Astyanax mexicanus: one gene and its partners. The protein of the gene in region 3 purifies or fractionates together with the protein of the main gene of each other region. This does not show direct contact. Links are inferred from orthologs where the notes say so. Each region holds a gene or a part of one and is shown on either strand. Other genes may lie near its edges. The genes, in order: lrp6, tmem59, pomk and ghitm.

Region 1 (6,894 bases), on a different chromosome or scaffold from region 3:
CTCACTGATTGACTGAGGTAAGATATGATTGTTGTACATTTTGTGTAAATATTTTACCCATATTTTGTGTTTTAAATCACTTGTAAAAGATTCTGTTGTCTCTTCTTTGCATACACTGCACACTTTCCAAGTGTAAAGGTCTCAAATATTCAATGTTTGAAACACTGGAATTAAAGTCTGTTTAAAGTACTCAACTATTTCAATACTGTAATTTCAGATGGTTATAATGTGTATTATTATTATTATTATTATTATTATAAATAAATGGGGGGGAACAAACTAAAAAACAATCATTTGCAACAAAAATATCGGCTTTATATATATCGGCATCAACCATTAAAAAAACAATATCTAAACAATAATTTACAGCATGACAATTCACTGGTAACCTCCCTAATTTATCAAGCACAGTGTATTTTCCAGCAGACCCAATAGAGCTAGATAAACTAACCGATTGTTTAGAAAATAGGGTAGCACCACTTCAATACAGAAAAGAGACACAGAAAAAGCTTGCCCCATGGTACAATGATCAAATGCGTACTTTAAAGCAATTAGTATGAAATTTAGAGTGTAAAAGGCCATAAACCTTTTACACTCTGGAAGTGTTCCACTTTGCTTAAAAGGACAGTATTGTTTAATAGATCTGCTCAGAGTATCTGGCAAGATTGACATTAATAAAAACAATCCTTGAGCTCTCTTTAGTGTTATTTCCAAACTGACTGAAACCAGGCAGGTACTGAAACTCAGATTGCAGCCATTCACACCAGCAAGGCTTTTATGGACTTGTTCAATAATTCAATTTCAAATATTTGAAAAATTAATCAACAGATAAATAGCACATCCAGAACAAAAGCCAGTTAGGTTGGAAGCCTTTAACTCAAACAATCTGCTTCATACCGCTGTCCAAGGCTGTGTTTCCCTGCTGGTACTTCTTGATCTGAGTGCAGCCTTTGATACAAGAGATCATACTATGCTTCTAGAAAGTTAAAGAACATGGTCGGTGTAACTGGAACAGCCATATCATGGTTTAAATTATATTTACGTGATCATTATTAGTTTGTGAAGGTAAATTATATACCTTCCAATTATGATTTAAATCTTCCAGATATAAATTATCAGACTTACATTTATCTCACACCTGGTTCATCAGCTAAAAATCTTGGTGTTGTCATGGATTCAGATCTAGAATTTGATAAACAATACTCTAACCAGAACAGCTTTCTTACAATTCAATGACATTGAAAGGCTAAGAAATGCCTCATTCTTGCACAGACAAATTCCTATATGCCTTCACTAAATCAAGGTTGGACTACTGTAATGCGCAACTGTCAGGATGTTCCAGCAAAACCTTAAATAAACTTCAACTTCAACTGGGAACTGAAATATGCCAGTTGTCAGAATTAAGAGGAGTTTAGCAAGGGTATTTCAGCTCTGGAATGACCTTCCTGAAGATGTTCGGGTCTCAAATACTGTCTTAATTGTTTAGGTTAGCTATTGGTAATTAATGTTTCCTCTTAGATAAAGGCTGCAGATCCAGGATACAGCCTGCCTGATTCACATTTTCTCTGTTCCCCATAAATCCAGTCAAAACTATTTCCAACTTTTTGCCTTTGTCCGAGTTACTGACTGACCACCTGTGACTGGCTGGCTTGAAATTCACCAGAGCAACACAGGTTGCCACTGGAATCCTCTTCCACTCCCCCATGATTAAAAAATCAGCCAGTCCATCCCCTTTATCTTTAGCTTCCTCAGCAAGGCAGATGTAATTTTTGAGGTGTGTTTGGGATAGAAGGGAATCATGCTCTGCATTAAAATATCACAGTTTATGTACACTAATTCAGCTCCCCAGTGCTAGCAGCACTTATGCTGCCCAAGACCATGATGCTACCTCCACCATGCTTGAGGGTAGACAAGGGACAGTTCTCTTGGTAATCCTCTCCATGGTGCTGCCACACATGCTAGACACCGTCTGAGCCAAACATGTTTGTATTGTTCTAATTAAATCACAGGATATGGTTCCATTAATCCATGCTCTTGGACTGCTTGTCTTCAGCAAACTGTTTAAAAGCTTTCTGGTGCTGGAAAACTGCTGTGTGACCTTGGCCACCATGCTGTTTCAGGGTGTTAGCATTTTTTATAGCTTAGATCTTTGTGAAGAGCAACAATTATGTTTCTCACATTCTCATTTAATTTCCATGAAGTGGATTGTTGAATATCCAGTGGCCAGAATGAGAGAATCCCCCCCAAAATCACACCTGGAACTCTGGAACTCTGAAACTCCAACAAGTCACATGACACCAGGGAGATACAGGGGGACAATTGGGCACAATTCTTCACTGTTAGGCGCACTCATTTCTGTTGCAAGCTATTTAGACATTAATGGCTGTGGGGAGTGTTCAGATGTTTTAGGAATACAGTAAATCTTTACAAGCTGTACATGGACTACTATAATTTATATCCACGTTTCATTTCTATAGGGTTCTCCCATGAAAAGATAAAATGAAATATTTGCAGAAATGTGAGGGGTGTTTTCACTTTTGTTGGATACTGTATGCTGCACTTGCACTGGTATTAGTAATAGTTTTGGATGCACCCTGTGTTCCCTTATATGTAAATTCCTCTTACACCAGACAAAACAACAATGTTTTGTTAGTAAATATTTTTTCTGTTTTGCTAGAAATATTTTCTTAATATTTTGGTGTGATTTTTTGAGAAGGGTATAGCTGCAGCCTCGGAGACTGCAGTTTTAGGACCCTGCAGTTTCAGGACCGCAGTTCTAGGACCCTGTTTTCGCGACACTGCCACCTAGCGAAGTGGTCGTGGACACGATGGATTACACTCCGAATGAGAGTTCGGAATGTGAATCAAGTTTTATAGCCTAAATTTAATGTATTAAAACATTTTTGTATCTCTTTTGAGATCGTTGAGATCCAGGTAAAAATAAAAATTATGAAGGACAACACATTATCAAGAAACTCTTTTAGAAAACAAAATGACAACACAAATGGCATGTCACAAGGAATTATTGTTTTAGGCATTTACAGTGTGATCAATTTGCTCACTTCCAATTCTAGGGGCGGGGCAAGAGCGCCAGTGTTCCAGCTGAAATCTAAATGGCCCACTAAAGTGCCCTTGTCCTGTTAATTAATTTGTCTATGTAGAGTAAAAATGCACGTAAAATTGTCAGGATATTTGTAGAGTTGCGAAAAGTTTTACACAAAATTATAAAATCTGCTATCAGAATTGCAGATAATACACATATGGACACAAATAATTAAGCAAAAGCAACTAAGAGACAAAAACACAAAAATAAAAGCAGAGGCTGCCAAAATACAAACAAATAATTGTTCTAATTTAATAACTGCAAAGAATAATAAAGTAACCAAATATATATATATATATATATATATATATATATATATATATATATATATATATATATAGTATATATAGTTACAAGTACAAGTATATATAACTTTTGGCACAAAAATAACTCCATAGATAACTGTGTTTGAAATACTTTCAAGTGTTTGAGCCTGGTGTGACTGATGAAATAATACTTGGAATTTGCATATAGTCTCTTTTATGATATTTACAATACTGTAATAACAATGCTATGGCTTAAATGTTCTTGCTTTACCACCCATGTTGATTTTTTTTAGACTCAGTTAAAGGGAATTTAAGTCACTCGGTTTGATCCTCAGCAGTCTAATCGGGGTATACCCGCTGCTTTACTGCTCAAACTTTCTTATCCAGCTCTGAAGCGGCTCGTCTGGACTGGTGACCGTTCTGTACTCTCCACACCAGCGTGTGAGCCCTCGGCACTGACTCGCAGATGTGTGTGTGTGTACACACGTATACACGCGCACACACACACACACAGGTCGAAGCACCAGACCATTCCGTGAAAAACTAGTCCCGTCGGAATGTGTTTCCCATGCTTTAAAACAAGCGGGCTGAACGCACGGGTCCCGCGCTTTGGCTGAAATTCCACACTGTCGGTTACGGCACAGACGGGCGGCTGAGGTCCGGTGTCTGTGTTTTTAAGATAAACCTCGTATCTGACTCGGGACACTCCGGTACAAACAATAGACAGCGGTCGGGTGATTTCAGGGAGCATTTCCTGCTGGCGGAAGGACACGGCTCGAGAGGCGGCGAGTGGCTGCGCTCCGGCGGCAGGATTTTTCGTGGAGGGGGGAAATCGTAGCGCCGCTGAAGCTCGAGAGAGGAAAGAAAGAATGGAGCGGAGAAAACCCGCGGCCCCGGTGGCTTTATAACAGCACTTCCAGCTGAAGTCTCTTACCCTAAACCCTCGAATCACTTCTGCGCGGGCAGCAGGACACAGCCATGCGAGCCCCGCGCTGAAATCCGGCCGCAGAGAGGAGCAGAGGCGAGAGAACGGGGGAAAGATGGGCGCCGTGCTGCGGAGTCTCTTTTTGTGTAGTTTCTGTTTGCAAATACGGGGTGAGTTTGGACTGTCGTCCTTTTCTCGTTGGGAAGTGTTTGGGTGTTCTGAACTGAGCGGTGTGCTCGTTTCTCTCTCCAGCAGGCAGATAGGTGTTGGTGGTTTAGTTGGTTTACAGTGTTCCAGTAGTGTCCCAATATTTCAGCGAGCTTCACTCCGGCGGGGAGCAGACGGAGCTACTGCACTAGCCTGAGTGCTGCTGCTGCGGGGGAGCGTGTAGCCCAGGCCGAGCTGCAGCCCGTTTTTTTTTTCAGAAACTTGAAGCCACTAGCCCAGGTACCAACAACACGAACCAGACCGTGTTTTACTGCTTTACCACAGAGCAGGGAAGCGTTCCCGTAGGTGATCTGCGCCCGGCTGGAGCGGAGAGTTAGCCGTTCTGCTCGTATTGTTGTAGCTAGTCTGGTTGTTGTGCTGCTAGCGCTGGCTAAAGCAGCTCCACACTTTCAGCAGAGACCCGACTCTGATCGAATAATGTTGACCGAGAAACGACAGTAAACGCGAGTCAGTTAACTTACTCAGTGTGTTTTTGTCCGCAGTGAGAGGGGAGAGTTCACTGTCTGAAGGTTAAATCTGAGCTAGGTAACTAACGTTACAGAATGTTTGCTAACAGCAGAGCTCAGCACTGAAACTCTCAGGGTTCTGCAGTCAGTGATGGATCAGGGATGTCGTGGCTTTCCCGAACTTGTCAGCACCAACCCCACTAAACTTTCACTAACGAGGCCCTAGACCTTATTATTGGGTGTTTTGTTTTTTTAAGGTTTTAAGGCAACATTACTATTAATAATAATAATAATAATAATAATGATAATAATAATAATAATAATAATAATAATTGTGAGATTCATTGGCGTTTTATTCTCCTTAACATGTAATCCTTAATATTCTTATGAAACGTTCAAATACATATTAAACGTATCGTTTAAAAGTTCACGGTGATCCACAGTTGATTATCAAAGATGTCTGACGTTTGTTGTAGTTATTTTTATTAAATGAGTGAAGTTGCAGAGCTGCACTTTCAGATACTTATAGCTACACATCGTCTTTTATACATCTGTTACACAGCCATTCTTTCCTTGACCTGTGCCCTGGAGTGTTGGTAAGGTAAAAAAATAATAATAATAACATTTTAAGATTTTGATTTTGTGGAGTAGTTAAAATAATAAAGGCGCTTGTAATTTGAGAGTTGTATGCTTAAAATTAAGTGTATCACAAGGGTATTAGAATTAGTGGTAAGCAGATTCTGCTTTAAAATGTGTTTGATGCTCATATTTTTCGTACTGTGTGACTGTTTAAAGCTCTTAGGTAAAAATAAAAAATTGGTAGAGAGGGAATGCCACCTTTATGCAAACAAACTGACTTTCAGAACCTGTTAAAATGTTTACAAACTAAGATGGGCTACAAAAATTATATGATCAGAAGCCAAGTATCAACTGTCCAAAAAGTGCAATACTCCCTGTATTTACACTTGGCTAGTAAGTGAAGGGTGTTGGATGGACTTCAATGTGCTGTCTTGGTGATCTGCAAGATTATAAATATTTGGGAAAGGAAATTCACAGGCCTCATGTTAAACAAAAATAACGGCAAGCAGGCCAGTCAATCGGTCAGAGACTGGGAACTTGAGGTTGCCCTCCAAAGTGATCCGCTGGAGAGCAGTGGTCAATGTGTCAAATTGGGGTTTGAGTCAGTGCCAAAACCCTGCAGAGGTAAGAGATACAGATCTGGGGAAGTTCTTAGGTCAGTTTATTTTTGTACAGGAGCCCTGTTAGCAGACACATAATGCAAACGTTTCTATAATGCTTTTAAAACTCTAGATAAGGCAGCAAATTAGCACTTCAGTCACAAATTACATTTTGCCAACTTAGTTTGATCTGAAGTTTCTTATTACTTGTTTACTGAGTTAAAGACAGAAAGGCAGAATATCAGTGCTGTTTGCTTTAGAGCTCCATTTGTTTAGTTTCTGCTGCTTGTAACAGAAGAAGGTAGCTGTGTTCTGATGTGTGGCATTGTCTGCGTGAGCTTAGGTTTACATTGTGTGCCAAGTTCGTACTGCTGACCTCAAATCAAAATCATCAAAATTATGATAAATGAAAGATTGTTTTGGGATGGACAGCATTTGGGAATGTTAATCTACCAGGCATATCAGTCACTGTGCCTCATTCACTTTAGATACTGCTTCTGTATCTCTCAGCTAGTGTAACCTGTTTCCATACGGGGAAGCCTTTGTTTAACAAGTAATTACACATCACATATTAAATTTTGTTTTGTGAAATATCTTTATATATTGGAGGGATTTTTGCTTTGCCAGGCTAATATATTTGTTGATTTCTCCCTCTCACTCTCAGCTGTGCCGCTTCTCCTGTATGCAAACCGGCGTGACCTGCGGTTGGTGGACGCCGCTCATGGGCGTGGGAACGCCACGGTGGTGG
Region 2 (7,952 bases), on a different chromosome or scaffold from region 3:
GCAGCCTGTTAAAGAAGAATATCATGAATCCAAATCCAGCAAGCTGTCGGAGATGAGTGAGGAGAAGCGAGCTAAACTGCGGGAAATCGAGGTACGCCTTACATTTCTGTTTAGGATTGAAGTTTTGAGAGTTGGCTCATGCAAATGGTGAAATGAACAGTGTCAACAACCAATATATAAAATATATGATATGTAAAATACCTTTCGGTAAAAGCTGAAGTCTAATATATTTTTGACTAAAAGCTAATGTCCAAAATCGTTTGAGTAGAAGTTCATTTTTTAGCCTTTAAACTTCTTTAAAAGTCTTTGCATACATTTAGCAGCTCAAGGTATTTGGCAATAAAATGGTAAGAGAAAACAATGCATAAAAAGTAAATATTATCTAATCTAAAAGAAGACAAAATTAAGTGACAAAAAATTGGTATGTGGAACTTTTTTTATATTTAAAATATATTAAGATTTTTTTTGTTTGTTTTTGTAGAGTAATGGTGTGTGCAGTGTGGAGGGTTGTAATGGTTTAGTAAATGTTTCCCTGAATTACAGTAATAAGGAAACACTCTACGTTTTATAACGTCTGGATATTGATAATGTTGCCTGAATAATTCAGAAAGCATTACCAGCTACTCTTCTAGGTCTAATCTCCCGTTGCTCTGCTGTTTACATATGTTTTACATTAAACGCAAATTGTAAAAAATCCAATAATGTTTGTTATTCACAGCCAGAGGTGTCTGTATTGTTACATCCCTAGTCTGTGTGTGCTGAACTGCTGCATCCATTAAGCATATCATTTTTTAATCTATTTGTTGAATAAACCTGTGCTTTTGTTGCAGCTGAAAGTGATGAAGTTTCAGGACGAGCTGGAGTCTGGAAAACGGCCGAAGAAATCGGGACAGAGTATTCAAGAGCAGGTGGAGCTCTACAGGGACAAGTTACTACAGAGGGTGAGATACAGTTCTCAGAACTTTTCCTGTTCTTATAGAACAGAACAGACCTGTACTAAAGGGTTCATCTTTATCTCTTTTAGGAAAAGGAAAAGGAGGTGGAGAAAGATAAAGAGAAGGAGAAAGAAAAGAAGGAGAAAGAGAAATCTGAAGTGTCGCACAAAGAGAAGGAGAAGGAGAAGGAGAAGGAGGAATCTTCATCAAGCAGAAAAGAGAAGTAAGCTGCATTCTGGAAAAACAACACCAAGTCTCAGTTTAATAAATGGCAGTTCACCTGCAGGATGGATGAGATTGAGGACACTGATGTGCTTCACTAAATATTAAACCAAATTTATTTCTTAAAATTATATTAATTGTCCTAATTGGATAATCTGGAACCCAAAAATAATTGTTTATTCAGTGTTCAGTTGTGCTTATATGTGTTTAGATATACCTGAAACTGATCTGTTCCGTTTGACTGTATTATAAATAAGTGGGAAAGAAAGTGTACCAAAGTGTCGTGAGCTTTTGTTTTATAATACTGTATCAATTCTTAAACACCATATTTATGGCTAATTATTAGTTTACATGTAAAGATTGGAGTTTGAAGTGATTCATTTTGTTTCGTTTAAACCCTGTCCACTAGATAGCTATGTTTTACTCTGTCATTAGATCCCACTGTTCTGATTGGATAAGTAAAGTGTCAGGCTGTGTATTGGCAAGAACCTGACTAGGCGATATGATGTGGCTCTATACTGTGATACTGTAAGAAAGGCAATACATACAAAGTTTTTGTCTAATTTTAGAAAAACTGTCATAGTACAAACACTAATATTTATAAAGCAGAGTAAAATTAAAGTTTACTTTTTGTGAATTAAAATATTTAGTGGATGGGGATTAAACACACAATAAATGAACCACTTCTGACACCAATCCTGTGTAAACTAAATTAAAGATGCTGTGTTTTTGAAAATCGATACAGTTTTGCACAACATGGTTCTGTGTATTTTTGCATGTTCTTCTTGAATGCTGTAAATTATTTATGCAGATTTGTTTTATATATCAAGTATGTGATGTTTGCTTTCTCTGGTTCATCAGGAAGCGCAGGCACAGTCCCTCCCCCAGTCCCACCCGCAGTAGCTCCAGCCGGCGTGGCCGGTCCCCCTCCCCACGGTCCGAGCGCTCAGACAGATCCTACACCAAGGACAGCTCACGCACCTCCTACAAAGACTCGCCACGGGAAAGCAGCCGGAAAACCTCCAAAAGGTCAGTTTACACTTAAATATAGATATATTAAACACAGAGTGAGCGTTTATTTCTTATATTGTTAATTTTCTGGTAAACACTGCACTGACTTTGGACTTGATGATAAAACACAGTGGATCAACAGCAGCAGATGACATGTCTCTCCAAACCATCACTGATCATCAGTAAATCTACATTTCATTTGTAAATTAAGGGAGCAGAGTCTGGAGGAAGAGTGGAGAGAGAGACAGTCCAAACTGCTCGAGGTCTAGTGTGAAGTTTCCACCAATCAGTGATGGTTTGGAGAGACATGTCACCTGCTGGTGTTGATCCACTGTGTTTTATTATCAAGTCTAAAGTCAGTGCAGTTTTGTTTTCCCACTAAATCTTACAGCACTTCATGCTTCCCTCTGCTACTGACAACTTTTATGGAGATGCAGATTTCATTTTCCAGCAGGACTTGGCACACTGCCAAATGTACCAATCAATCCTCTATTATAGTCTAATTTTCTGAGACACTGATTTTTGGAGTTTCTTTGACTGTTGAACATAATTATCAGCAATAAATAGATTTTAAACAGATCACTGTGTGTAATACATCTTTATAATCAGTTTCATATTTTGTACTGAGTTATTGAAATAAAGTAACTTTTCAAAGATATTCTTGATAATTCTTGATGATAATTTTTTGAGATGCACTAGTATATCTTTCATCAGACTCTTCCACTTCGAGTCTATTTACGTACCCTCCTGCAGACTCTTCAGCCAGTTCCGTGCCGTTTCAGTGCTCTCCATCACACTCTTGAATTTACCCTCTCTCTCTCTCTCACTTTGCAGGTCGCCTTCCCCACCCGCTACACCCAAACGGTCCCGCAGATCCAGATCAAGAACGCCCAAAAAATCCTCCAAGAAGTCCAGGTCCCGCTCGCGATCGCCACACCGCTCTCACAAAAAATCCAAGAAGAGCAAGCACTGAAGCACAGCTGCAGCTCCAGAACAGCTGGATTCTCTTTTTGTGCCTGAATTTCGTCCTGTAAATCCGTGTGGGATTCGTTCCCCATTCAGCCTCTTTAAGTCCCTTTGACCACTCCCGTCTGCACGTGTCCAGTGTCCTCACAGGTCTACACAGGGGTATTTTATATTGTGAATAAGGGGCTTCCTCTGACGTCTTAATTTCGCACAGCAGGAAAATAAGAGGCGACGTCTCAGAACTATGGTATTATTTTTGGTCATGGTTTTTAGATCCCTGCAAAATGACTTAAATTAAAATAGTGTGTATGTTTTCAGTTGTATAGTTGTTTTGATTTTCAATAAAGACACAGCTTATGTGACTCCTCTGAGATGTATGTTTTGTAAGTGATTGTAAACTGATATTTACAGAAGTGTATATATTTTTTTTTACTGTGATTTGTTGTACAGTTTCATGATTCAGGGTGATTGAGTATAGAACAACCATGGTGACCATACCTGTGCTGTGAGTACAGAAAGAATTTGCCTCTGCTTTTAATCCATCCATGAAGTTAACACACACAGTGTAGTGCTGGACAATAATTTAATATCTATATTTATTATCAGTTACAGTGATATAATAGATATGAGGGATAATACACATCCTATCAAACAGTATAACTTATTCTATATAATCAACATTTATTCTGTTAACATAATTCATTAAGAAAACTAATTGTTTTAGCTTGGCTTTTAATTTAGCCGTTAGCCATCTCCATTGACGCCATATAGTTTCATCCGTTAATTAGAAGCAAAAATCTAAACATTAGTCTCTTTCTCTTGAGTTTGTATAAAATATTTCTAGTATAACAAAATAAAAATATAATCGCAAAAAATAAACAATATACCACTCAACTAAAGTGTAGCATATTTAGTGTGTGAAGAGTGCAAACAAAATTAGTAAAGTAAATACTGTAAATAGCAAAACAAATACAAAATACACTGCTTTGTAATGATATTTACAGCACACAATGATGTACATTAGTGGATATAGAAGTCCAAGGCAAAAACATTTTGACAGGGCCTGACGGATATGATATGGCACTCCTCTACTTCTGATTATGATAGTCAAAATAATTTAAAGCTAAGGTTTTTATGGCCAAAATGCACAGTATTCTGATAATGGCCCTTCTATATGGAGCCAACATGCATATATGGATAAAAAAGGCCCCATAGTTATCTGGGTCACTCACTGCCTAATATATTAAACCCTTTACAGCAGATGTGTTTAAAGTCTGAGACTGGGGTCCAGTGCAGCCTGTGGATGGATATTATTGCCCCTCCGTCTCTGTTTTAAGAATTGAAAAGTGACCCAGGATTACATTTATGTTGTCCTTTCACTTCACAGTGGCTGCAGTAAATTAAACCACACTGTTATGGACGTTAATTCCTCTGACTGATTGCAAATCCAGTTATTTACAGAACAGCATTTAGTAATTGCAGTAAAAAAGCATCACCAACATTAGATTTTTTTATTCCTAATATCCTGTTAGATACTTCGATACTACACATCTCTGCTTATAACTGGAGTTTTAAAAGATTTTACAAGCAATATCTGGAATTCTGAAACATTTGATGTAGTGTTCTGTGTTGAGAAAATCAGTAATGTTTAGTATAAAAATGATTAAAGTTGTAAAAACTGTATAAACTCTGATTTTTCGTAGTTTTTCCATTGAAACCCATTCATTTTGGTCTCACTCTGCAGCGCCCCCTGGTGTCTGCTCTGTAGAAGTTCTCTGGATTAACACGCAGCGCTGATGTTTGTTAAACACTACAGGCGGAGCTCTCGCGAGATCTCGCGCTGCCGGAGTCGGAAGAGGAGCGGTGTTTGGAGCCGCTGTTTGTTGTTGTTTGTTTATTAGGTGTTTATCGCGGATCCTCGGGCAGAATGGCGGGGTTTCTCGGCGCAGCGCTGCTGGGATTTATCTGGGCCGCGCTGCTGTGCTGCTGCTCGGCGTCGGCCGACGTGTTTGACGGGGTTTTGGGCAGCACGGCCTCCTGCCACAGAACCTGCAGGATGACCTACAGCCTGCACACCTACCCGCGGGTAACTCGCATAACATACTAATAAACCGGCGATCAGCTCATCTATAACACCGATTTCTCACCAATACCAGCCTTAATCAATACTCACATCACTGCAGCAGCGTCGCCGAAACACCAGACTGAACCGTGCTGTTATTACTTAACTTCTTCTTCTTCCACTTTTCCATTCCACCTTAAATTCTCCTGCACTTACACTGTTGCATGCTGGCGCCTGCACTGAGCTGCTGCTGTAACTGCTGAGGGATTTAAGGTGGAACGGATAATTCTAGTACGCAGTACAGTATTGTTTTTGTTGAACTACTTTAAAGCCTTTATTAATGTTTAATAATTATTTTATGAAGCTCATAAGGTTTTAAGCTAGCCAAAGTTATGTAAGCTAGAAAAAAAGCAGTATTAAGAGATAAATATATAAAATCGTTTAACATGTTTAATGAGTTGTTCTATCAGTTTAAGGCAAAATTTATGAAATAATGCATTTTTTCTTGTATAGTAGAAAAGGAATGTAGTTATATTTTTTTCTATTTTTCATTTTTTAATTTCTAATCCCTTTTAATCTCACTTAAAAAAAAAACATTATTCACTCAGTTCTCCATTTTGAATCTTGTAAAACAATCTAGTGGTGTAATCCAGCCTACTTTTTTGTTAGGAGATGTAATGAGAAAACAAAGAAAAAACTTTTTTTTCTAAAATTCCGAGTATGGAAAACAATGGAAGCAATGACAATGGAAAACTAGAACTTTTATAAAATAGATGAAAACCCATTTATTCTTTACTGTAATAAATAAAAAAAGGAATTTATTTTTGTTTTTGGAATTCAGCCTGGAATTGATGGACAATACATGTAAGATTTTTTTTATTGAGGGAGTTATATACCTTTAATTGTGCAAATATTATTTTTCTCTCTGAACTCTTTAAGAGCTCTGTAGCGTCTGTAGAGTATTTTATTCAGTCGGCTGTCTTTAAATCGCAAAGAAATTAAATTTCAGGGATATATTTATGACTAATTAATTAATTAAAAAATTAATACATATAAAAGTAACTTTAATATTAATATTAAGTAATATTTAGTAACTGAGTAAATACTTTTAGATAAATATTAAATAATTTACCTAATTTTAAGAAGTTTATGATAAATTCAAGCGCCAAATTATTAACTTGAAAGATTAAATTATTAAATGGAGGTAGTTATATATTTAAGGAAGGGGAATATTTACAAAATTGATTCTTTATACACTTGACTGTCTTTAAATCGGGAACAGAAACATGTTAAATAAAGGAATCAGGTTATTGAATTGAGAGGAAATATTTACTTAACCGAGGAACAATTTTGATTTATTAGGAATTCTGTTAATATTTCTTTAAGAGAAGAATGTCTTTATTCATTCTTTATTGATGTGTTGAGGGATGAAGTGTTTAACTGCTTCCATTATATAAAGTGGGTGTGTATTATGTAAACATCTGTGTTCCGGGTCTCTTTCTTGGTGAAAAGAAACTCAAATAATGACCGTCTAATATGAACACGCACTTTTATTATGTGTGTTTTATCCACCAATCAGAGGTATGATTCATTGTGATAAAGGGCTTTCTTTTTTTTTTCCAGCAGTTCTTCCTCTACCTGGTTGTACAGAATTATGGTTATATATATATATATATATATATATATATATATGTGTGTGTGTGTGTGTATGTATGTGTATATATATATATATATATATATATATATATATATATATATATATATATATATATATATATATATATATATACATACATATCTATTTACATACATACCTGCATATGTAAACTCCTCTGTAGTTGTTCAGGATGGTAATGGTGTGGAATGAGTCCTGAGATAACTAAGTGTGCTGTGTTGTTTTTCTTGTTTAGGAGGAGGAGCTTTACGCCTGTCAGAGAGGCTGCAGACTCTTCTCCATCTGCCAGTTCGTTGGAGACAGCGAGAACCTCAATCAGACCAAATCCGAGTGTGATTCTGGTACGCTCACTCCTGCACCGGTCTTGAGCTTTTTATTTTTTAATTTTAAAACTGGTATTTTTCTGCTGCTCTCATTAAAAACTAGAAATTAGAATTTACGGGGGAATCCTATAGCAGTCTGGGTCTCCATCAGCAGCCAGAGTCTGAGATAGCACAATGTACCATGCTCTCTCTAGGCGGGTAGGTGGTGCTCTGTCCCCAGGCGTTAGCTGTTAGCTGATGTATCAGATCTAGGGTTGCGGCGCTTTCCTCAGCGTGGAGTAAAAGTGAATTACACTTGTCACCTGCAGAGGGGGAGGCCAGAAGCAAACAATACCAATTGTTATATAATACTGCATTAAATCTGGCTTTGGTAGTGTTTTAATCTATTTTATCTGTGTGTCAACATATAGTGTATTGTGATGCTATGTATTTGCCATATCGCCCAGCTCTGTATGATTTATATTACCCTCAGTTACTCTCAGAGAGAATGTGAAATGTGGATTAAGAGTGTAATGCTTTTGTTATTGAATTTGGGTTATGATAATCTTTATTTAATTATTGTTTCTTTAATTATTTCTATAATAATTCTCATTATTTAAACAATGCTTCATAACCAATGTGACTTAATTAATCGGTGTGTTCCTGTTTTGTCTCCTGGCTTCTGCAGCGTGTCATGAGGCCTATAGTCAGGGAGATGAGCAGTACGCCTGCAGTCTGGGCTGTCAGAGTCAGCTTCCATTCGCTGAGCAGAGGCAGGA
Region 3 (7,821 bases):
AAAAATAGAGGTTCAGATACCGGTTTAGTAAACAACTAGAATATCCATAGGGCATGGCAAATATCTTGGAACAAGATAATATTTCCATGCCCCTTGATATGTGGCATGTGTTATAAGATTTCTTAAATAAAAAAAGTTCTATAAAAAATAATAAGTATGTTTTTTTGTTCATCTTTTTTTCCTAAAAGTGACTGAATCCACTGAATTATGAAACTGCAAAAAGTCAGACTATGCATATAGACTTTAATACGTAATAGACTACAACCTTAATTCCAAAAGTTGAGACAATGTGTAAAATGTGAATTAATTTAAATAAACACAGAATGCAGTGATTTGCAAATTTCATAGACTTATGTTTTATTCATAGTACAACAAGGAAAACAAATCAAATGTTGAAAGTGAGACATTTTTCCATTTTATGGAAAATGTATCTAATTTAGAACTTGATGGCAGCAACACATCTCAGAAAAGCTGGGACGGGGCAACAAAAGGCTGGAAAAGTAAGTGATACTAATAAAAACAGCTGCAATAAGAGCAGTTCAGTAAACTGAGGTAAATTGGTAAGGTGGCTGCATTGACCCATGGTTTCGTCTTTGCATGAAAGAGATTAAACTTGCATTCCTGAGCTCAAGCAGTGGTTTCCAGTACAAAATCAAAGCAGTGCCACCTGAGGACCCAAAGATCACCAGCATCCAATACTGTTGTTGGCCTTGTCCCTTAATGACCTTATGTCCTGTAAATGATGGGATATGCAATGTACCTGCAAATTTCTGTTGAGAATTTTTTTTTTGGAATATTACAGATCTGTGAACCTTTACCCACCTTTGCTTCTGAGAGTCTCTGACACTTTAAAGTGCTCTTTTTATACCCAATGAGTTAGTCGCAGATTGCTTCTATTGCAGCTGTTTAGTTTTTTGAGATATGTTGCTGCCATCAAGTTCTAAATAACTTAATACTTCTCATGAAATGGTAAAAGGTCTGACTTTCAACATCTGATATGTGTTCTATTTTATGGGTCTGTGAGAATTGCAAAGCATTGCATTCTGCATTTTTTGGAATGGGGATATTAGACACACCTTTATATTTACTGTTGGGTCTGAACAAAAGCCAGCAATTAATGCCCTGCTTCTATCTGACACACCCACCTGCTCTAGGTTTATTTATACTTTGTTGATTGTTTCAAGAAATCTTACACATTCTCTAGGGTTATTTTAATATTTATCAGTTCTTTTTTCTGGCTGTTTGAGGCTAAATATGAAAATAGAAAAAATAGTATTTTATTTATTTGGTGTAGTATATAAGAAATTGTTTTTTAATTAATTTCCCAATTTTCTAGTTTTCCTTAATGCCCTCACAATCTAAAGTTCTTGGGAAAATGAAAAAAATAATCTTGATTTCCAAATTTCCATTTTTTCATGTTTTAACAAAGGTTTATATTTAACAAAAGATTATACCATCAAATTAATAAAGGAAAATCAATGTTTTTTTATTATTTTTTGGGGGGGAAATTCAAAATGTGAGGGCGAGAAATTAACAATTAAAAAATTGAAAAACAATTGGAAAATATTTTTTTACTGTACCAAATGCGAGTAGTATGTTTAAAATGTTTAAAAGGATAAAAAAAACGTATACCTAATTTTCTTATTTATTTTAGGTGAGAAAATTGAAGTGATACTTGTTACTCTGAGCCCGCAGCCCCGTCACTCACCCCGTACACTCGGGCCAGCGAGTTGAAGAGCATCTGTCCCGCGCTCACTTTGTCCCTCACTCCGCGCACTGTGCCGTTCTTGCTGCGGATGGTCACGCGCTTCCCGCTGAACAGGCTCTCCTTCGCTCCGCTCGCGTACAGAAGCAGCTCGTCAGGCTCGCTCCCGCTGTCGTCCGCGCGCGCTCCCGCCGGGACGCTCAGGTGGCTGTTGGCCTCGCTGGCGGCGGGCGAGGCCGCGCGCTCGGGCTCGGAGCTGCCGGTGGTGTCCGAGTCCGCCGGGTCCTCAAACGCCTCCTCCCGAAAAACCTCCGCCAGCACGCGGCCGGAGCGCGCGGACGCCACGCGGAACCGAACCCTGCGCTCCGTGCGGGTCCCCGTCTCTCTCTCCATCAGCAGAAACACACACACACACCAAACTACATCATTCTAACGCGCTCGTGTGTGTGTGTGTGTGTGTGTGTGTGTGTGAGAGAGAGAGAGAGAGAGAGAGAGAGAGAGAGAGAGAGAGAGAGAGATAGAGAGAGATAGAGAGAACGAAGGTGTCAAGTTGACACCGAATGTGTTAATATTGAATGAAGCTGATCCATGGAGACGAAGAAAACAGACTGAATAAAAAATAACGAACAAATTATAACAGAGAAGCTCCAAAGACCCGTGAACTTTATTTAAATTAAAATAAAATTAATTTGTTTATTAAGTATTTAATTTATTTATCAATTTATCATTACTACCACAACTAGCAGCCTCTTGCCTGATCTGTGTATTTACAGTGGTGACTGTTTGTTTGTGTGTTTGTCAGGATGCTGTATGAGTAATACTATATTTACATCTCTGTTGTAGAGAGATTTCTGATATTAAAGCTCTGAACAGATTGAAAAGCCGCTGCAATCTAAGTTTCCATGTTTTACTGAGTTTCACCATCTCGCCACGTTTTTACTGCTTGACTTTACAGCAGCTTCAGCCCATCGTGTCTGTAGTTACAGATCCATGAATATTTTGGAAAGTAATTAAAATATTTTTTGAAAAGGGATTCGAATCTTGTTTAAAGTGTTTGGAATATTTGAAAATAGTCATTCAAATATTCTTAGAAAGTAAGTGAAAAGTGTTTTTGAACATCGTAAAGTAATTTACACATTTTCGTAAGTGATTAAAATCTGGTTTAATTGACTGTAATCACTTTATAGTGCTTTTGTGCCTCTCTAAGTGATGGACCGATGGATGGATGGATGGATGGATGGATGGGATCATTGGCGTAGGAACCGGGGGGGATGGGTGGGACATGTCCCACCCAATATTGGAAACTGGTGGATTTGTCCCCCCCAAAAATTATATCGTTTCGCTCAGATCAGCTGTACTATTAATGAGGAGACAGACCGGACCAATCACGGAGCCGGTTCAGGTATTAAGTCCCGCCTCTCAGCACGAACAGCCAATCAGTTTGCTGGTTTTGCGGCCCGCGGTGTGCTAGTGGGGGAAGCCCCGCCCCCTCGCTGTGAGATTTAGCAGCGGGATCGGGCTGCAGCAGCTTCAGCTGATTAAGATCTGGATATACGGGGATTTTTCTAAAAGAAAGGTAACGATAGGCTAACCACATAAACTGTGATGATGTTTCTGATAGCTGGTTAAAAATACAAGACTCTAAATCAGCACACAGTTTAAACCCACTGTGATTAATAAACTGCAGCTGTGTGAGTGAGTTAGCTTAACTTTGGAATTAGATAGATTGGAAGTCAACGTTAAAGAAAAAATAAACTATATACGTAATGTTCAACTTGCCCTGTACCTGATCAGCTAATTACTGTTTCATTTTTAAACTGTCTTTATTAATTTAGGATTACAGGATTTACTGTGAGCAATAATGAACAAAAATTCATTTAGTTAACTAGTTATCTAGAAGCCAGATAGTGGATAGTCAGAATTTAGTACAGTACTTTATGTTTGTAGTTTAAAGCAGTTTCTTAACCCTGATCACTGCCCCAAAATTGTGTTTTCCACCTGATCCAGCTGATCAGCTAATAAACAGTCATTTACTGAGTTTACTGAGTTTAATCATGTATATCCAGCAGTGTATTAGACACATCATACCACCACTTACTTTATTAAATGTCTTTAAAGCAGAGAAAGCTCTAGAATATGTAGAACAGTGTTAATATTCAGTAGAATATGTAAGAACAGGGTTCACAGTAAGGCCACATGTCCTGACGTTTATAATTAAAATCTTTATGAAACGTAAAGTTACATTCTTTTACATAAAAGGACACCAATCTTTAGAAGAGCTCTTAATAAAAAAATAAAAGCGTAGGATTTTTTTTAAAGAGTGGAGAAAATGTAAATATACAACAGAATTGACATGCCAATACATGATTATAATAATAATAATAATAATAATAATAATAATAATAATAATAATAATAACCAAATCTGTTATATTATTTTAAATATTAGGTGATAACTGATCATTTTTGTCATATGTATATGTATTTGCATAATTTTTTCTTACAACAGTAAATGTAATGTGAAGTAACATGTTTAGGTTGTAAAATCACCTTGTTAACTAATAAAAAACAAAATACAGAAAAAAAAATATTATTTGTGATTTAAAGTAATTTCCACAAATGTTGTTCTAAGAAACTATAGGGTGGGCTTGGGTTCATATTGGCAAATGTGTCCCCCCCAATATCAAACCTGCTCCTACGCCCTTGGATGGGATGGTGGTGAGCTGATAAGGGAGCGACTAAACAGACCGTCTTTGTGTCGTTCTGAGCTTGTCCTACACATCACCACCACTTTGAATTATGGTATCATGCATGATATCATAATAATGCATGATACCATGCATAAATTCCATGGGAATTCTAGTGTGCCTCGTCTGTACATTTTGTGATGCATTATGGGTATTTTATGTTGATTTATATAGGTGATACAATGTACTGTTGGGATTTCGAACAGCACTACAAAATGATGGACTCACTAATGGTTTATACTCTAAAAGCAGCTCAGCAAAGTAGCTGCCATCTGGCACCGGATCATCCAGGTAGAAGGCGTGTGGTAATGAACAGTATTTACTGCTAGATGGCAGTGCAGCTCTCAGATCACAGTTGAACTGGTAAATCTCGTTTTAAAGAAGAAGAAGACAGAGCAGGATGAATACAGTGGTGTAGTTAGACAGTGAAGCTTAATCAGTTACAGAATGTAGCAGCTGAACTTCAATCCTCGTAGGAATGGTTGAGTGACTGGTGGACTTGATTATGAACACAGCGCAGTGCGGTAAGTGTGGTGGAAACAATGTTTAGCAGATCAGAGCTTTTAGTTTCTGCACTAAACAATAACAAGCCATTTAACTAGTGGGTTAGTAAAAAGGCTTCAGTTTAAAGAAATTTGCTGACTGTTTATACTTTCATTTAGTTTTATAGGAAACAAGATTCATAATGTCTAACTTAAAACATAAGCAATATTAAATAATATATATATGAAGGTTATAAATGCCCAGTATGAAAGTAGCTGAAAGTAGATGATTTAGCAGTTGGGGTTGGATCTTTGCCTGCCGGGAGACGGGCGGCAGTGGTGGGTCTGCGTGACGTCACCCGCCAGCCACTTTTTCATCGACCCGGCAGTGCCAGGCACGTACCCGGCAGTACTAAAAACTGACAGGGGGCTTGCTGACAGTACGCCGGCAGTTTTAAAAACTGTCAGGGAGCTTCCTGACAGTACGCCGGCAGTTTTAAAAACTGTCAGGGAGCTTCCTGACAGTACGCCGGCAGTTTTAAAAACTGTCAGGGAGCTTCCTGACAGTACGCCGGCACTACTAAAAACTGTCAGGGAGCTTCCTGACAGTACGCCGGCAGTTTTAAAAACTGTCTGGGAGCTTCCTGACAGTACGCCGGCACTACTAAAAACTGTCAGGGAGCTTCCTGACAGTACGCCGGCAGTTTTAAAAACTGTCAGGGAGCTTCCTGACAGTACGCCGGCACTACTAAAAACTGTCAGGGAGCTTCCTGACAGTACGCCGGCAGTTTTAAAAACTGTCAGGGAGCTTCCTGACAGTACGCCGGCAGTTTTAAAAACGGTCAGGGAGCTTCCTGACAGTACGCCGGCACTACTAAAAACTGTCAGGGAGCTTGCTGACAGTATGCCGGCAGTTTTAAAAACTGTCAGGTAGCTTCCTGACAGTATGCCGGCACTGCTAAAAACTGTCAAGGAGCTTCCTGACAGTACGCCGGCAGTTTTAAAAACGGTCAGGGAGCTTCCTGACAGTACGCCGGCACTACTAAAAACTGTCAGGGAGCTTCCTGACAGTACGCCGGCAGTTTTAAAAAATGTCAGGGAGCTTCCTGACAGTACGCCGGCACTACTAAAAACTGTCAGGGAGCTTGCTGACAGTATGCCAGCAGTTTTAAAAACTGTCAGGTAGCTTCCTGACAGTATGCCGGCACTGCTAAAAACTGTCAGGGAGCTTCCTGACAGTACGCCGGCAGTATTAAAAACTGCCAGGGAGCTTCCTGACAGTAGGGGGCTTTCTCACAGTACGCCGGCACTATTAAAAACTGTCAGGGAGCTTCCTGACAGTACGCCGGCAGTATTAAAAACTGTTAGGGAGCTTCCTGACAGTATGCCGGCACTACTAAAAACTGTCAGGGAGCTTCCTGACAGTACGCCGGCAGTTTTAAAAACTGTCAGGGAGCTTGCTGACAGTAAGCCGGCAGTTTTAAAAACTGTCAAGGAGCTAGCCTAGGATGGACTCTTTCATATGGGAGTGGACCTGTTTTGGCATTATGGAAAAATCATGAGAAATTTAATTTTAAGCATGAATAATACAAATAAATAAATAATATAAAATAAACAATACAGTGAAATTTGCCCAAACTTGCAGGAGTCAAAGCCTAGGACAGACTCTTTCAAATGGTAATGGAACTGTGTTGGCATTATGGGAAAATCATGAGAAATGTCATTTTAAGCATAAAAAAAAAAAAAAAAAAAAATTATATAAAATAAACAAAACAGTGAAATTTCCCCAAATTTGCAGGAGTCATAGCCTAGGATGGACTCTTTCAAATGGTAGTGGACCTGGTTTGGCATTATGGGAAAATCACAAGAAATTTAATTTTAAATATGCATATACTATATATATGTTTATATCTATATATTTTTGTAATTAATATAAAATAAACAAAACTGTGAAATTTGCCCAAACTCGCAGGAGTCATGGCCTAGGACATACTCTTTCAAATGGCAGTGGACCTGTTTTGGCATTATGGGAAAATCATGAAAAAAAACATATTTTAAGTATAAATAAAAAATAATAAAATTTATATAAAATAAACAAAACAGTGAAATTTGCCCAAACTCGCAGGAGTCATAGCCTAGGACAGATTCTTTCAAATGGTAGTGGATCTATTTTGGCATTATGGGAAAATCATGAGAAATTTAATTTTAAACATGAATAAAAAAAACAATAATAATAATAATAATAATAATAATAATAATAATAATAATAATAATAATAAAAATATAAAATAAAAAATACAGTGAAATTTGCCCTAACTTGCAGAGGTGACAGCCTATGTTGTACTCTTTCAAATGGTAGTGGACCAGTTTTGGCATTATGGGAAAATCATGAAAATTTTTATTTTAAACACGCATACAATTTTTTTTATTAATATAAAATAAACCATACAGTGAAAATTGCCCACACTTGCAGAAGTGATAGTCTAGGATGGACTCTTTTACAAGGTACTGGATCTGTTTTGGTTTTTTGGGAAACTCATGAGAAATTTAATTTGAAGCATGGATTGAAAAAAGTAATATTAATATAAAACTCTCTCTCTCTCTCTTAAACACTGATGGGATATTATATCAAATAGATAATGTACTGCACAAAATATACAGTGAGGTGAGTTATTTTAATCCGTTTTTTCTCGTTTCTGGGCTTAATGTATGAATTAATGAATAATTAAGCCCAATTAATTCTGAATTAATATAATAGACTGAAACGTGTCGGTCTCCCGTTCTCTGTGTTTTTTAAGCGTGCTCTCCGCCTGCGCGGCTGTTTACCGTAAAATCGCACGTATACGCGCATCTAAATTTAAAGCCCGGATGACTTGACTGAGAATTTC
Region 4 (7,176 bases), on a different chromosome or scaffold from region 3:
TAGATATATCTAGAACCAGCAGTCAGACTATAGCTTCGACCACTAGACCAACACTCTAACCAGCACGGGTTCTCCTTCAATCTACAAAGGTTTTCCACCGATCTAAAGAACCACGTGGGCATCCCCGTCTACAGAACCATTGTAGAAACATTTTTTGTTACAAGAGTGTGAATAAAAAACCTTCCAGATCTGGGCTAAATTGTTGGTTCTGCTGACTTTCCAGACTGGAGTTATTTTAAACTGAATCAGTTTCAGGTTCTAGATTTTTGCAGAACCCAACAAACACTGCCATCCATCCACTTACATCTTCACACACCTGTAGGTTCCTATAGGTATAGGCTGGAGGTACTGAACTGCATAAGATATCTAAATTTACTCTTACCGACCAGTTCACACCTAGACCCAATATCCTTAACACTAAACCAGTCTGAAATGAACCACTTTTTCACACAACACATACAAATACATGTGAAATATTCTTGTCATGTGCTTTATATTATATCATATATAAAAAAAAATAATGTAATTAATTCACAAAACATATAAATATTCCATTGCGCCTAAAACATTTTAACCACACTGTAACAAACATTTGAGCAATTTAATTGTAATTATTTTAACTAATTAAATTGATTGATTGATTAAATTGTTTTCTAAGCTCAACTAGAGCTTGTGGACTTTATGTTAATTTAATAAAGTGGAAATTCATTCCTGATACCACTAATGTACACAGTGGGTGGGTCTCCCTTTCTCAGTGACACCATCAGTGTGTAGTTGTGCCGCCAGGCACAACTTCTCTTGTGTATTCTATTATGCTTTATGCAAGGGTGGACTGGATACCCTCTATGTTGATGGCTATGAAAGCAAAATGCCATTTGTTGCATGGATCACTGTGTATTATACCACACTTAGTTCCGACCCTGCAATGTAATTGGCTGAGAGGCGTTTTATGAGTGACATTATCAGCCGGTAATGCACTGTAACTGAAGCACTCCATGTATTACTCTGCCACATACAGGTAACCTAGCATTGATGCAGCGTTTACAAGCCAAACAGCGCAGCTACACACAGAGCAGCAATGGAACTATTTTAACTTGCACGGAGTTTATAACCACATTGTATTACAAACACATTGTATTTAACTAAAAATCGTTCAATAACCAGCGATAATGGACACTTGAGTTTCCTGCTATAATGCACTATAATAGCAGTGCTACTGCTACGTGCTATAGCTCTCCCTCTCATGTATTATTGCTTAAATAACTCATTGTCATATTCTCTTCCATTTTTCACTTCCACCTTCAGGAATCTAAGTAACAAAGTTAAACTACTGGTTTTCTGGAACAAGTAAATAAAACTCATATTACGGAAATATTTGTATTTTAAACCTGAATTGCTAAGTTGAAACAATGTGTATTATGTAGTTAAATCACAGAACTCACAGAGAGGAGCCAACAGTCAAATCAGACATAAAGTCATTCAAATAAATGTAACTTAAAACTTTATGACTTTACTTTTAAACTTACGTTTTTGACTTTTAAACTAACATCTTTTACAGTGAAGTTGATTATCCAGAAAGCAAACGTATATGATTCATAAACATGATTTTTTCCATCTGTTATGCATTAAAACAATGTTGATCTCTGAAATCAGAAACAATTTATTTGTGCACATCAATTTTAAATTTAGAATTAATTTAATCTTATGCATTTAATATGTTGTTTGTTATAAATTTTCTTACATTTAATATGTATGTGTATCCTTAATATGTTTGTGTTCTATTCTAAGTGGGTGTAGAACTAGCCCCAGTCATTCAAATCCTTGAAATGACCATTGATTCAAAGTCAGAATTTCAACACTAACTGATGCCTGTTTGCAACATTATTTATTCAACATTGCGTAATAAGCAGCGGTTAAGGTTGAAGGTTATTTTTTTCACTATCAGTATTAAAAGATAGTAGAAGTAAATAAAAGGAGCTATAATTAACAGTTTATTCGGTGTTCTTTGATATCAGGGTAACCAGTATTTGAGATGACAGCTAGAGACCGAGACTTTTTTTTGCTGTTCCTTATTATTACCTTCCGTTCAACTCTGACCAGCTTTCCAGTCAATGCTAAAGAAAATCACCCTCACAGCATGATGCCACCACCACCATGTTTCACAGTGGGGATGGTGTGTTTAGAGTGATGTGTGATGTTAGTTTTCTGAGACAGAGATATAGAGTTTCACATTTATGCCACAAAATTCATCCTTGGTCTCATCTGACCAGATCACCCCTTCCAAGTGTTTGCTGTGTCTCCTAAATAACAGTAAGTATTGGGACTTGATGTCATCACCCACATTAGCTGGAATTAAACATAGTAATCAGCTGAATCAGGAGACTTAGGAGGTGAAATAAAAGCTACCACACTGACTCCACCTGCTGGCCACTGTCGGAAACTGCAGCAAATCTATCTTAGTCTTAGATAGATAGATAGATAGATAGATAGATAGATAGATAGATAGATAGATAGATAGATAGATAGATAGATAGATAGATAGATAGATAGATAGATAGATAGATAGATAGATAGATAGATCTCATCAGGGAGTCTCTCGGCTCGCACATTTACAGGAGAGCAACTGCAGCAAGTGCGTGTGAAGCCTCCAGCCGCGTGCAGCCGCGAGGTTTTAACGGTGCCAGTGGATCGAAATTCCCCTCACACACCTGTGATGCTGTTTCTGTTCATTGTAAATGTTTTAAAAATATATACATAAATAAACATAAATCTCTCTTTAACAAAATAATGCACATTATACTGATATTTGTGTCATTTGTAATTTAATTAATGTAAACCACACATTTGTTTAATTTTATATCTTTTAATTTATAACTGTTGCTTTGTTTTAAAATACTGCACACACAAATAAGCTTGTTTTATAGTTATATCTGTTATTATTATTATTATTATTATTATTATTATTATTATTATTATTATTATTATTGTTGTTGTTGTTGTTGTGGTTTTCATTTTAAAATGACACTGTTCAGCAGTGTAATCAATTATATCCCAGCACAGTTGATGTCATCACCCACACTAACTGGAATTGAACACAGTTACCAGCTGAATCAGGAGATTTAGGAGGTTAGAGAAAAGCTACAACACTGACTCCACCTGCTGGCCACTGTTGGCAACTGCAGAAAACCTCTCGGTGTTTTCACTCTTAGTGAATACAGTAGAAATCTGAAAAAATGAAAGATAATCATTTTGACTTTTTTTTTTACTATTATTTTATTTTATTTTATTTCTAAATGTTCAGACTACACAGAAATCATATTTTCCAGCTTTACCACTTCATATTTCTATTTTTCATTTCCTGACACGCATGCACCACCATGTTATAGCAAGCTGCATGACAGGGTGGACAATTTTAATGAAAAAAATTTAATTGCAATTTGATAAAACATGGTTGAGGTAGAGTTGCAAACATGTTAAATTGTTCATGATGACCTTGCTCTGTTTCAAAAATACATTTTTTTTTTCACCACGCCAGGGTGGACAACTTAAGTTTTATCTCACATAAGCATGGAGATAAAATGAGGAATATTGAGTTAAATTAATATAATTAATTGGTGAACATGCAGCAAGTGTCTTAAATCCCCTAAAAAATAAACATGGTGAAGGTTGTGATCTGTCACTGACAGGGCGGGTTATCTCAAGATGACAGGGTATACAGGAAATAGCTGGACATGCTTAAAAAGCATTTCCACTTTTATAACAACAACAACAACAACAACAAAAACAACAACAATATTACTACCACTACTACTACTACTACTACTACTACTACTACTAATAATAATAATAATAATAATGGCAGTAACGGTGATATAACAAGCTTTCTTGTTTGTTATTATTATTATTATTATTATTATTGTTGCTGCTTTCATTTTTAAAAGGGGGAAATGCAGACATAAATTAATATATATTTATTTTAATTATAATATATTTTTAAATATAATATAATCGTTATCAGTTTATTTAAAAAATGTTTTATTATTATTATTATTATTATTATTATTATTATTATTATTATTATTATTATTATGTAGCCAGTGTAGAAAAAAATCTATTAAATAACTTACTTGTCAATGAACTACATCTTCCACAATGCACTGCGAGCGTGGTTCATGATGTAACAGGAGAGAAACTTCCGGAAGGTCGTGACGCTTGAGTTTGCGCATTTCTCAGAGGTGAACCCAGAAGTTCAGGCTCGGTTCGGGTGAGTTTGGGATTTTAAACGCATTTTTAGTGTATTTATAGTATTAATATAGTATATAATTAGTCCCTGATATACAGTCCGATCCTGTCTGAGCGCTGTTTAATTCACACAGCTCTGTTTACACAGCTTTAACTGTTAGCTTAGCCGTGTTCTGAGAGCCTGACTAAGAGGAAACAGATCAGATCAGATTATTCTGAATATACTGTACTCTAATCAGTGGAACTGTGCGTTTTTAATGGTTTAAATTGAATTATCTTTTAGAACTGTAGTCTCCCCTCTTCAAAATCATTATACATTGTTACATCACGCATCAAAATGCTTATTCTAATGTTAAGTAATTACTGGCTACATGCCACACATGTTACCTGTGGCCAATAAGTTACATGGTTAGATATGTATTAGGTAAATTCTAATTATAGTGTATGCTATCCTAATAGAACTGTAGCTGTTTAACTGTGCTGTGTTTCTGTATGTAAGAGTCGTTGCTGTTACTGTGCAGAAAAGCCTATGCCTGTACCATAAAAAATAAGAGTATAATGTACAGCTTATAGCTTGAAGTTTTGCACCAGAAAGTGGCTTAACGTTATCCAAAAGCAGTGTGTAAGACTGGTGGAGGAGAACATGCCAAGATGCACGAAAACTGGGATTAAAAACCAGGGTTATTCCTCCTAATAGTGATTTCTGGACTCTTCTGGAAACTTGTTTTCTTTGCATTATTTAAGGTCTTAAAGCTCTGCATCTTTTTTTGTTATTTCAGCTATTTCTGCAAATAAATTTTCTAAACTACATTATTTTTATTTGTAAGAAATGTTGTCTGTAGTTTATTGAAAAAAACAACAATGTTCATTTTATTTTTACATATACATATAAATAGCTAAATCAGGGAAGATATCCTGTGTTATATAAATCCATTTTTCTACTTTTTTCTGTTTTTCTGTTCAACCTATCCTAATATTAAAACAAAAAAAATGTTCTGTCAAGATTTTATAGTACATATTCATATAGAGGTTTATGCTGTAATATAATACACGTTTTATTTCAGCAGGTAAGCTGTAGTTTGTGGAGTTTAGGTTCTCAAATAAAACAGGTTGAACCTCATATCACCACAGCTGTAGCTGTATAAACGCTCCAGAAAATGCTGAGTCATTTTGAACAGGGAGTTATGTATAGCATAGCCCCGCCCCCTCCCCACACAGGTGCTTGTTCATGGCTATTGGCTGTAGTGTCTGTTAAAAAGACACCACTGTTTATTTACATATCTTTATCTGTCTTTATCTCCAGAGGTTGTTGTTCACTACACTGATCTGAAGATGTTGGTGGCGAGGCTGGCATGCCTGCGGACTCTCCCTGTGGTCGGGCTGCGCTCAGCCTTGACCCAGGGCACCCCTGCCCTGCGGAGCTCCGCCCTCAAAACCTGCCCCCCTCTGCTGAAACCCCAGCAGGTGAGTAGAGAGTTTTTACATAAATGTATACAAACCCCTCTGCTAATCTTGTAGCTGTTTAATATTTTAGTCAGGTTTTGGTTTAAATAAGATAGTTCAGAAACTCTAAATACGTACAGTGACAGTAATCTGATTATATTGTTTTTGTTTCTGTGCCTCAGGGTTTTTCTTCCAGAGCCCGGTTTGGAATTCGGAGGAGTAAGACTGCTAAAGATCAGCTACAGGAGGCAGCGTTCGAGCCAGCGACAGACACTGCTATTAAAAGTGAATTTACACAATATGCACTCTATAATATACATAATATACCGTTATATTCTCCTGGAGAAACCTAATTGTTTATTTTCCTGGATATTTAGACTTATTGGAGACTGCATTTGACTCTACAGTACTGGTACAGAGCAAAAATAACACATTTGAATTATACAGTTACTAAAATAACCATATATAGGCAGTAAGTGTATTAGTAAAACACTAATTTTATACTTATATTATATAAATAGTTGTACTAAAGGCTGTGGTTTTGCATCGTTGGATATTTCCTAATCTTGCCCATAGTCTACAGGTTCTTGGTAAACTGCAGCTTTCTTCTTAAAAGCATTGCAATTCACACACTAGGTGCAAAGATTTGTGTATATTTTCATGTATATTTTTGTCACTTTTTGGTCATAATGTTTACTCAAGAACACAAGCTCTCTCACTCGCTTTCTCTTACTCTCTTTCACTCTCAGTTGATACCATGGGCAGGATGATCCTGGCTGGCGGAGCAGCAGTCGGAATGGGAGCGCTGTGTTATTATGGGCTGGGCATGTCCAGTGAGATCGGAGCTCTGGAGAAATCAGTGTAAGAAAATGTATAAAGTGTGCCAATCATCTGGATTAAGACATGTTACCATTTGCCATTTTATGTTTATGTTCATTATGTTATTTAAAACTGTTGTCTTTCTGCAAATCTGGACCTGTCCCAAATCAGTGAAATAAATAATATATGTTAATAAAATTTGTACAGATACAGGTTCATTTAAAAAAATTAGAATAGCATTGAAAAGGTACTTTATTTCTGTAATTCAGTTAAAATGTGAAACCCATATATTATATAGACGTATTACACACAGAGTGATCATTATTGTTGATGATAATGGCTTACAGCTGATGAAAACACATTTTTCCGGGAAAACACTGCACTGATTTTAGACTTGATAATAAAACACAGTGGACCAACACCAGCAGATGTCTCTCCAAACCATCACTGATTGTAGAAGCTTCACACTAGACCTCCAGCAGCATGTACTGTGTTCTCCACTCTTCCTCCAGACTCTGATCCCTTGATTTCCAAATGAAATGTAAAATTTACTGATGATCAGTGATGGTTTGGAGAGACATGTCATCTGCTGGTGTTGATTCACCGTGTTATATCAAGTCCAAAGTCAGTGCAGTGTTTTCCCAGAAAATCTTACAGCACTTCAAGCTTCCC

What was found.
Region 1: the proteins of pomk (region 3) and lrp6 purify together in Homo sapiens (affinity purification with mass spectrometry; 3 studies listed by BioGRID and IntAct, counting the BioPlex papers as one, with this or other methods). This does not show direct contact. The link is inferred for Astyanax mexicanus from reciprocal best matches to the Homo sapiens genes POMK and LRP6.
Region 2: the proteins of pomk (region 3) and tmem59 purify together in Homo sapiens (affinity purification with mass spectrometry; 3 studies listed by BioGRID and IntAct, with this or other methods). This does not show direct contact. The link is inferred for Astyanax mexicanus from reciprocal best matches to the Homo sapiens genes POMK and TMEM59.
Region 4: the proteins of pomk (region 3) and ghitm purify together in Homo sapiens (affinity purification with mass spectrometry; 3 studies listed by BioGRID and IntAct, counting the BioPlex papers as one, with this or other methods). This does not show direct contact. The link is inferred for Astyanax mexicanus from reciprocal best matches to the Homo sapiens genes POMK and GHITM.

What each region holds. Positions count from the first base shown.
Region 1 is NC_064409.1:30,628,086-30,634,979, forward strand, and holds the start of lrp6 (low-density lipoprotein receptor-related protein 6), read left to right. Parts: upstream 1-3,879; 5' UTR 3,880-4,409; coding exon 4,410-4,464; intron 4,465-6,810; coding exon 6,811-6,894. UniProt on the Homo sapiens protein: Component of the Wnt-Fzd-LRP5-LRP6 complex that triggers beta-catenin signaling through inducing aggregation of receptor-ligand complexes into ribosome-sized signalosomes.
Region 2 is NC_064425.1:41,516,493-41,524,444, forward strand, and holds the start of tmem59 (transmembrane protein 59), read left to right. Parts: upstream 1-4,952; 5' UTR 4,953-5,061; coding exon 5,062-5,220; intron 5,221-7,106; coding exon 7,107-7,212; intron 7,213-7,861; coding exon 7,862-7,952. Other genes in the region: U2 snRNP-associated SURP motif-containing protein, read left to right, coding at 1-91, 831-941, 1,025-1,158, 2,019-2,186, 3,003-3,141.
Region 3 is NC_064414.1:27,798,432-27,806,252, forward strand, and holds the start of pomk (protein O-mannose kinase), read left to right. Parts: upstream 1-4,817; 5' UTR 4,818-4,975; intron 4,976-7,821. Other genes in the region: grxcr1b (glutaredoxin domain-containing cysteine-rich protein 1), read right to left, coding at 1,709-2,098. UniProt on the Homo sapiens protein: Protein O-mannose kinase that specifically mediates phosphorylation at the 6-position of an O-mannose of the trisaccharide (N-acetylgalactosamine (GalNAc)-beta-1,3-N-acetylglucosamine (GlcNAc)-beta-1,4-mannose) to generate phosphorylated O-mannosyl trisaccharide (N-acetylgalactosamine-beta-1,3-N-acetylglucosamine-beta-1,4-(phosphate-6-)mannose).
Region 4 is NC_064422.1:16,584,805-16,591,980, forward strand, and holds the start of ghitm (growth hormone-inducible transmembrane protein), read left to right. Parts: upstream 1-4,169; 5' UTR 4,170-4,264; intron 4,265-5,545; 5' UTR 5,546-5,574; coding exon 5,575-5,706; intron 5,707-5,867; coding exon 5,868-5,970; intron 5,971-6,434; coding exon 6,435-6,546; intron 6,547-7,176. UniProt on the Homo sapiens protein: Plays an important role in maintenance of mitochondrial morphology and in mediating either calcium or potassium/proton antiport. Mediates proton-dependent calcium efflux from mitochondrion.